2 linked regions of the Callithrix jacchus genome follow. The protein of the gene in region 1 purifies or fractionates together with the protein of each later gene. This does not show direct contact. Links are inferred from orthologs where the notes say so. Each region holds a gene or a part of one and is shown on either strand. Other genes may lie near its edges.

Evidence for each region.
Region 2: the proteins of TJP1 (region 1) and OCLN purify together in Homo sapiens (affinity purification with western blotting; 4 studies listed by BioGRID and IntAct, with this or other methods). This does not show direct contact. The link is inferred for Callithrix jacchus from reciprocal best matches to the Homo sapiens genes TJP1 and OCLN.

What each region holds. Positions count from the first base shown.
Region 1 is NC_133507.1:7,931,057-7,934,871, reverse strand, and holds part of TJP1 (tight junction protein 1), read left to right. Parts: intron 1-802; coding exon 803-946; intron 947-3,105; coding exon 3,106-3,200; 3' UTR 3,201-3,815. UniProt on the Homo sapiens protein: TJP1, TJP2, and TJP3 are closely related scaffolding proteins that link tight junction (TJ) transmembrane proteins such as claudins, junctional adhesion molecules, and occludin to the actin cytoskeleton.
Region 2 is NC_133503.1:140,011,265-140,015,179, reverse strand, and holds the start of OCLN (occludin), read left to right. Parts: upstream 1-952; 5' UTR 953-1,019; intron 1,020-1,088; exon of another isoform or gene 1,089-1,212; intron 1,213-1,285; exon of another isoform or gene 1,286-1,412; intron 1,413-3,915. UniProt on the Homo sapiens protein: May play a role in the formation and regulation of the tight junction (TJ) paracellular permeability barrier.

The sequences.
Region 1 (3,815 bases):
AACCTAGCAGTAGTAAATTATCCACAGAGTGTATGAGTGAGTCTTAGAGGAGATTACAGTATGTTTCTGAGTTTCTTAAGGAAACTTATTTTCATAATCCTCCTGGATCTATGAGGATATTATAATGAACTGTGTCGTTATTTCCTTTCGCATCTTTTAGCAGTGCTTTTACTTTCCTAAATAAATTAACTTTAGTTTGCTTTCTTACATTTTGCCAGAATGCTGACATCTGATTCTGTACTCTGATTTTGGGGATATCCTGTTTTAAAAATCAGTAGGATTGACAGTCGGCCCTGCATGAATCCCTTTAACCACCTCTGTAGCAAACAAAACATTTTAAAAATGGAAAATAGGTCACATTTGTAAAAAATACATTTGAATATGTTTTATACTATAGACCTATATGATTGAATGCAGTAGCCACTACCTGCATGTGGGTAGCTAGTATCTGAAGTGTGACAGTTTTGGATTCAAGATGCTGAAAAGGTGAAATACACACCAAGTTCCAAAGATTTCATATGTTGGTTACATGTTGAAATAACAGTGTTTTGGTTATATTGAATTAAATAAAATATTAAAATATTTTAATGTTTGATGTCATCTGTTTCTTTCTAATGTGGCTGCTGGGAAATTTTAAATTCTGTTAAGTGGCTGCTGTTAAGTTTTTTGTGGTCAGTGCGACTGTAGAGAACTAACTCCATTAGGCTTAAGCATCTCATTAGAAGCAGGGTGAAGAAAACTGTGGGTCTAGAAGAAAGACCACATCCAACCTCTCTCTGCCCATCCCCTTTGCCAACTCCAGGTGAAACCCTGCTGAGTCCCTTGGTGATGTGTGGGCCCCATGGCCTCAAGTTCCTGAAGCCGGTGGAGCTGCGCTTACCACACTGTGCGTCCATGACTCCTGACGGTTGGTCTTTTGCTCTAAAATCATCCGACTCCTCGTCGGGTATGCTGTCTTCACTCTGTCCTTTGGGGGCTTTGGGGACTGTCGTTGATTAATCCCTGGGCTGCTGATGCTACCCGTGCTGTACAGCAAATCTCTACCTCGATTCTTGTGGCCTCGTAGGCATCACCAGTGTTTTCACGTTTATTTGTGGTACATATATTGTAAATAAATACGGAAATGTAGAAGAGTTTCTGCTTTTAAAAATCAAGAATTTGGCCAAATATTGACTGTCCCTCGGTGTTCAGCAAAAAGATTTATTCTGTCAAATTTTTCAAGATTCACTGGGAGAATTGTTACTGTCCTGCACATGTGGGCATTTTTATCTTCTTCTTAAAATGATTTCATTCCTTTATATAACTTTTCTATTTTTGTTTTTTTTTTGTTGTTGTTTGTATTTTTTGAGATGGAGTCTCACTCTTTCACCCAGGTTGGAATGCAATGGTACGATCTTGGCTCACTGCCATACCTTTGCCTAACGGGCTCAAGTGATTCTCCTGCATCAGCCTCCTGAGTAGCTGGGATTACAGATGCCTGCCACCACACCTGGTTAATTTTTGTAGAGATAGGGTTTCACCATGTTGGCCAGGCTGGTCTTGAACTCCTGACTTCAAGTGATCCGCCCACCCCAGCCTCCCAGGGTGCTGGGATTACAGCCATGAGCCACTGTGCCTGGCCTGTTTAATTTCTTAATCTACAAAGCATGTCTACCAGATAAACTTAAAAGATCTTCCATTGTGATCATACTTGGCCATGGTTTTTCAGTGTAATACTCTAAATAACTTCTTTTATACACTTGTTGTAAATGACTTTTTACTTCTAAGATCATAATTTCAAAGCTTCCATTACATTTTCACATTTCTCACTTCCTTGAGTGATTTAAGTTAGTTAACAATTGGAATTTTATTTTGGGTATAGATCACTTTAAGTGAGCCTGATTTAAAGTACTGCTTCTAAATCTTTGATAAATCAGATGAGCATTATTTAGTTTTAGTTTGGTACAGTATGAAATAAAAGTTTGTGGTATAAAGATTATAGCAAGAGCATATATTAATGTTAACAGAGAAAAATTACTTGTAAATATGTATTTCCTCATATTTACAAGTAGCCCATTTTCTGGAAAAATGAAAGGCTTTTGACTCCAGATATTGCTTAGGGCGTCCAGCATACTGTAGGCAGGGTTCTTAGCTGGCACCGTTGACAGTTTGGCCACATGATTGTTGTAGGGGCTCTCCTGTCCACTGTGGGATATTTAGCAGCTTCCCCGGCCTCTATCCCTAGATGTCAGTGGTAACAAGCAAAACTGTCTCTAGATGTCCCGTTAGGGGCAGGGTTGTGCCTGTTTGAGAGCTACTGCTATAAGGGAAGCAAGAGTCCACAGTTGGGACTCTCCACTTGCTTGGGTACCACAGAGATACACAGTCATCCCTGCCTTCTTCACATTTCATAGAAATCACTAAGAGCTTACTAAAAACTCAGACCCTGAGACCTGACTAACACACGGCGAGTGAGTGAGTGAAGCTGCGGGATCAGTTGTGTTGTACAGCTGGAATCAGCTGAGCAGCTCTGGTGCAGTCTTGTTTTTTTGTTTGTTTTTTGTAAGGGGGAAGACAGGCTTCAGGTACTAGATTCTGGAGAACTAGGTTTCATTTGTTGGTCTGTAGTTGAGTGTGAGAAATGTATCCTCATTCTCAGCTCAGATAGTTGGTCATATAATGATTCTCCAGACTTTTGAAAGTGAAAGAAAAATGCTACTGATAATTATGTGGGCTCAGGGGCAAACTGGGACTGTCTTAGGCATATGATTGCTGTCACTCACTCGTATTTGTGTTTCGAAAAGCCTAATGCACTTGATAATGTCATAAAGGAGAGGTCTGAAAGTTAAAAAAAAACAAACCTTTCTTAATGGTATGAGGGTGTCAGTTGGAAAGAAAGTTTAAAAATATATATTTTTTAAATACAAGAAGTGTGAAGCACCTTTGAAATTGTTAGATGCCAGCAGGTCTGCATTGAAATAAAGCAATGAGTTTTGATAGAAATACAATATTCTGAGGAAATACAAGACAATTATATCTAAATATCCGTATTTGCCCATAATTGCAAAGCGTTACAGACAGCAGGTTACTCAAGTGTAAATGACATCATCTTCTTTTCTCTCATAGGTGATCCTAAAACCTGGCAAAACAAGTGTCTTCCTGGAGATCCAAATTATCTCGTTGGAGCAAACTGTGTTTCTGTCCTTATTGACCACTTTTAACTCTTGAAATACAGGAACTTGATTGAATAATGTGAAACTGGGTCAAACTCACTAAATCTAAATGGAACCACTCTATCAAGTATTATACCTTTTTTAGAATCGAGACTACAATTTGTTAGTATTAAGTATTTGTTTGAACTGAGAAAGATTAGTGAGCATGCCCCGAACCATGGTCAGAAAACATGCTACACACTGCATGTTTGTGATTGACGGGGACTACTGGTATTGGCTAGAGGTTCAAAGATATTTTGCTTTGTGATTTTTGTAATTTTTTTTTTTTTTTTTTTAGCATCACTGCTTAACTTCACATATTGATTTCCGTTAAAATACCAGCCAGTAAATGGGGGTGCAGTTGAGGTCTGTTCTTTCCAAAGTACACTGTTTCAGACTGTATTACGGCCCTGGCCTAGCATACATACACATTTTATTTTATTATGCATGAAGTAATATGCACACATTTTTTAAATGCACCTGGAATATATCAGCAGTGTTGTGGATTTAACAGAAATGTACGGCAGGGGGATTGGTAACTCTGGGGGAGGGTGAAGTGAAGACAATGACTTACTGTATATGAAAACACATTTTTCTTAGGGAAGGACACAAAAGCATGTGAGA
Region 2 (3,915 bases), on another chromosome or scaffold:
GACATTCCAGTCTGGAACACAAAGACAACCAGGATTTAAGAAACCTAAAAGTTCGTTTTCAATGCAGATAGTTAAATGCCAAGAACTATAATTGCCACATCCTAGGGTGCAATTAAAAAATATGTTGAAAAACAACAAACGTACATAAAAGTATACACAGTGTTAAGTGCAGAATATGAAATTTCCTGTGGAACCAGAATCCAGATCAAGAAATAGAACACAGCAACCAGAACTAAGGTGCTTTTTCGTTTTCTTTAAAAAAAAAAAAAAAAAAGTAAACCAAGTTTATTTTGCTTTTTAAGTAGTGTTCTTAAAGCACTACAGTTTGGTAATGTAGAAGGTGCTTTTTCTTAGGGCAAAAAGCCAGAATAGTTTAAATCTCCCCGTCCCCAAGAGCAGACTCTCGATCACACCATTTGTATTTGGGAGCAGGTGGGCAGGAGAGGACCCTGAGGTGGTGATGTGTAAACTGTATTACGCACTTTAGCCTGCTGGACGGCAACTGACTGACACTAATAGCTACAGTAGTTAACATTCATTTTAACCCCCCCTAAGTAATTGTCTTATTCTGAATCTAGAGATTCAGAAACAGCGCCAGTATTTACACACGATTTTTGAAATCTTCCCCGGAGTCTTTCGTTGGAGCAACATATATGGATGCCTTTTTCCAGCAACAGTTTAATCAAATTTTGGAAGCAGAAAAGCGTCCCAGGAGGACGTGCCTTTCCTAGCAAAGTGCTGAGTATCTGGGCCCTCTTTCCGGAGCTAACAAGTCCCCTCCGGCCCTTGTTCTGCTTCTCCTCGTCAGGCAGCTCGAGGTTCCAACAGAGGCAGGAGGAGCACCAAGAGCGCGCCCCGAGGTGGTCCAGGACCCCCACCCGTGCTGCCCGTGGGAGAGCGCGCCTCTCCTCCGCGCCCCGCCCCTCGGGCCGGAACGCCGCGCGGTTCCTTTAACAGCAAGCTGGCCGGGTGTGGGGAGCAGGGCCGCGTCCTCCCGCCCCCTCCCATCCGAGTTTCAGGTGAATGGGTCACTGAGGGAGGAGGCCGACACACCACACCTTCACTCCCGCGCCCACCTCTCCCTCCCCGCTTCCTCCGGCGGAGACGCCAGGAACCAGGAGCTAGGGCCAGAGCGCAGAGGAGCCCGTCCCGGACGTAGCAGGTGGGACTCGCAGGCGCGAGCCCGCGGGCCTCCCGCACCCCTTCACGTTGGTGCGCATGCCCGGGGGCAGGGCCGGGTGTGGGGAGGAGGGAGAGGATTGGGAGGAGGGGCGGGAGGAGGGCTGAGACGTCCCCAGCCCTGTCCCCGGCCGCGCGCTGGCGGTCGGCGCGGCGTCAGGTGTGGCCGCCAGGTGAGCGCGCTCCCTGGCTCCGGCGGCCCTCGGTGGGTCGGGCCCAGCTGCGGCGAGTGGGTGAGTGTTGAGCGCAGCGCAGGGGGCGCACGGGAGCCCGAGGGTCCCCGTAGGGGGACCGCGGCGCCTCTGTTAGGGGACGGGCGGGGGAGAACGCCCAGCGCTGGTTTCGGTGGCAGTTTCGATCCCGGGCTGGTACTTGTGGTAACCGGAGAGGCGCGGATCTGCGGAGAGAGCAGCGCCGGCCAACTTGGGAGGCCGCCTCCCCGGGCGAGGGGCGGCTTGAAGCCGTCGATCAAACTTTATTACTCGGAAACGCTTAAAGCTGGCAGTGCCCCGGCAGCGCGGGCAACTTTTCACTTTTCTGGGACGCGACATTCCTGCATCAGCTCAGGGGCTGCCGTTTTGCGGTGCGGCCCTCATGCAGAGGGGCTCCCAAGCCGGAGGCTACTGCGTGGGGGCTGTTCGCTGGCCCGGGCGACTTACATCCTAGGGGGGAATTTCATCCCTTCTGCCCCCACACCGCTCCACCCCTTTGGGAATTCCGGGGAGAGGGGTGCTGGATTCAATCTGTGAAATATTGTGGGAGTCACGGTGTGGGCCACACTGGCTACTTCGAATCCGCTTGTTGGGAGTTTTGTGAACCGGCGTCGATTTAAGCTGGGGGACGAGGAGTTAATTTCGAGTGAGGCTGGACTTCTAGGGAAGCTGTTCACGCTTCGGATTCTCATCCGTGACCAAAAGGCTGCAGTCAGGGGGGCGGAACTGCCTCCGGGCGGTGCCTGCCGGGCGAACGCAGGCGCGCGCTGCCCAGGTGCGCCGCGGGACGCACGGACGCCGGGACCCGCGCCCGGCTGGGCCACGGAGTTTGGGGACCTCCGGGGCAGGACCGGACCCGCGCGCCAGCCATGTTTCCTGCGTCGGAGGAAGCCTGCGGGAAGCAGGGGTCGACGGCCAAGATGGCCTCTGCGCCTAGGGGTTGGGAGCGGCGCCGAGCCCCTGGAGCTCCTCGTGAAGCCACCCGCCCAAGGAAAAACCGCTGCATCCTCAGGCGGGACCCGGGGCTCGCTGGCCACACTGCCCGCTTGGGAAATTACCCCGGGCGAGGAGGAGGCGGCTTTCCAAGCAGATTAGTGTGTGCTCCCGAGGCAACAGGTGTATTATTGGGATCCCTGGAAAAGAGAAACGCTTCCCATGAAGGCACTTAGGGTGATTCCTGCTGTGATAGAAAACCAGGCATTCCCAAGTGTAACAATAGTAACAATAGTTCTGTTGCACTGTACATGTGAGTTGGTTTTGTGTGTGTGTGTGTGTGACGAAGTCTCGCTCTGTCGCCCAGGCTGGAGTGCAGTGGTGCAATCTTGGCTCACTGCAACCGGCGCCTCCCCGGGTTCAAGAGGTTCTTCTGTCCAGACTACGGAGTAGCTGGAACTACAGACACCTGCTGCAACGCACGGCTAAGTTTTGTATTTTTAATAGAGACGGGTTTCTCCGTGTTGGTCAGGCTGGTCTCGAATTGTCTACCTCAGGTGATTCCCCGTTTTGGCCTCCCAAAGTGCTGGGATGACAGGTGCGAGCCACCACACCCGGCCTTTATGAATATTTCCTTAATGGTGCTTTAAAATAGACATCTTAAGGGGCGGTGGAAGGCACAGATATTTCCTCAAAGGAACTTTTCTTTTCCCCCTACGTTTTGCAATTTATTTAGTTATTAGAGCTCCTTTGTTGTGATGGAGAGGAGGATAGAGAGGTTGGTAAGACAGGTTCTCCACCTTTCGGCAGCTTCCAGGTCATTTCGGGAAGTAATGGGTAGTGCCTCCTGCAGGTGAGACACTGTGCTAAAAGCATTCTGTATTTTGTCATTTAATCATCCCAACACCTGTAAAAGACAGGTCTTAATGGAACTCCGTTTTAAAAGTGGACAAACGCTGTGGGGGAAACGTTGCAGGTGGGCCTGCTTGCAAACTGCTTCAGCTAATCAGGGAAGGAATATCAGAAGCAGCGGTCCTTCATATTCCACAGCCAGATTTGGGGGATTTTTCTATCATTGACTAATACGTATCGCCTGATATCAGATTTCCCACATTTTGCTTGATGTCAAGGTAAAATTCTTGTTTTCTTCTAAAGGTAATGTTGGAATTACTGCCTTTTCAAAATAATAGATTACTTTTAACCACATAAATGAACTGATGTAATATCTTTCACCTTCCCAGGAACCTCCCAGAGGGAAGTTTTCTTCAGTTGCATCTTGAAGCTTACTTGTTTGGAATGTTAATGGGCCTTTTTCATCAAATTATTTATAGAAATAAGAGAGTAAACAGACCAGGCAGATTTCTATTAGGCTTTTTGTTTTAACCTCTAGGCTTGTTGCTGTTCTGTAACCCAGTGATTCCAGTCTTGGCTGTGGTATGAATCACCCAGGGATCTTATTGAAACACAGATTCTGACTGGGAGGTCAGGAGTGGGGCCTGGGATTCCGCCTTTCTAAGAGGCTTGCAGGTGATTTTCAGAATGCTCTGCCTTCTTTTTCTCCGTTCTCTTAGATTCTAAGCACTTAATTACA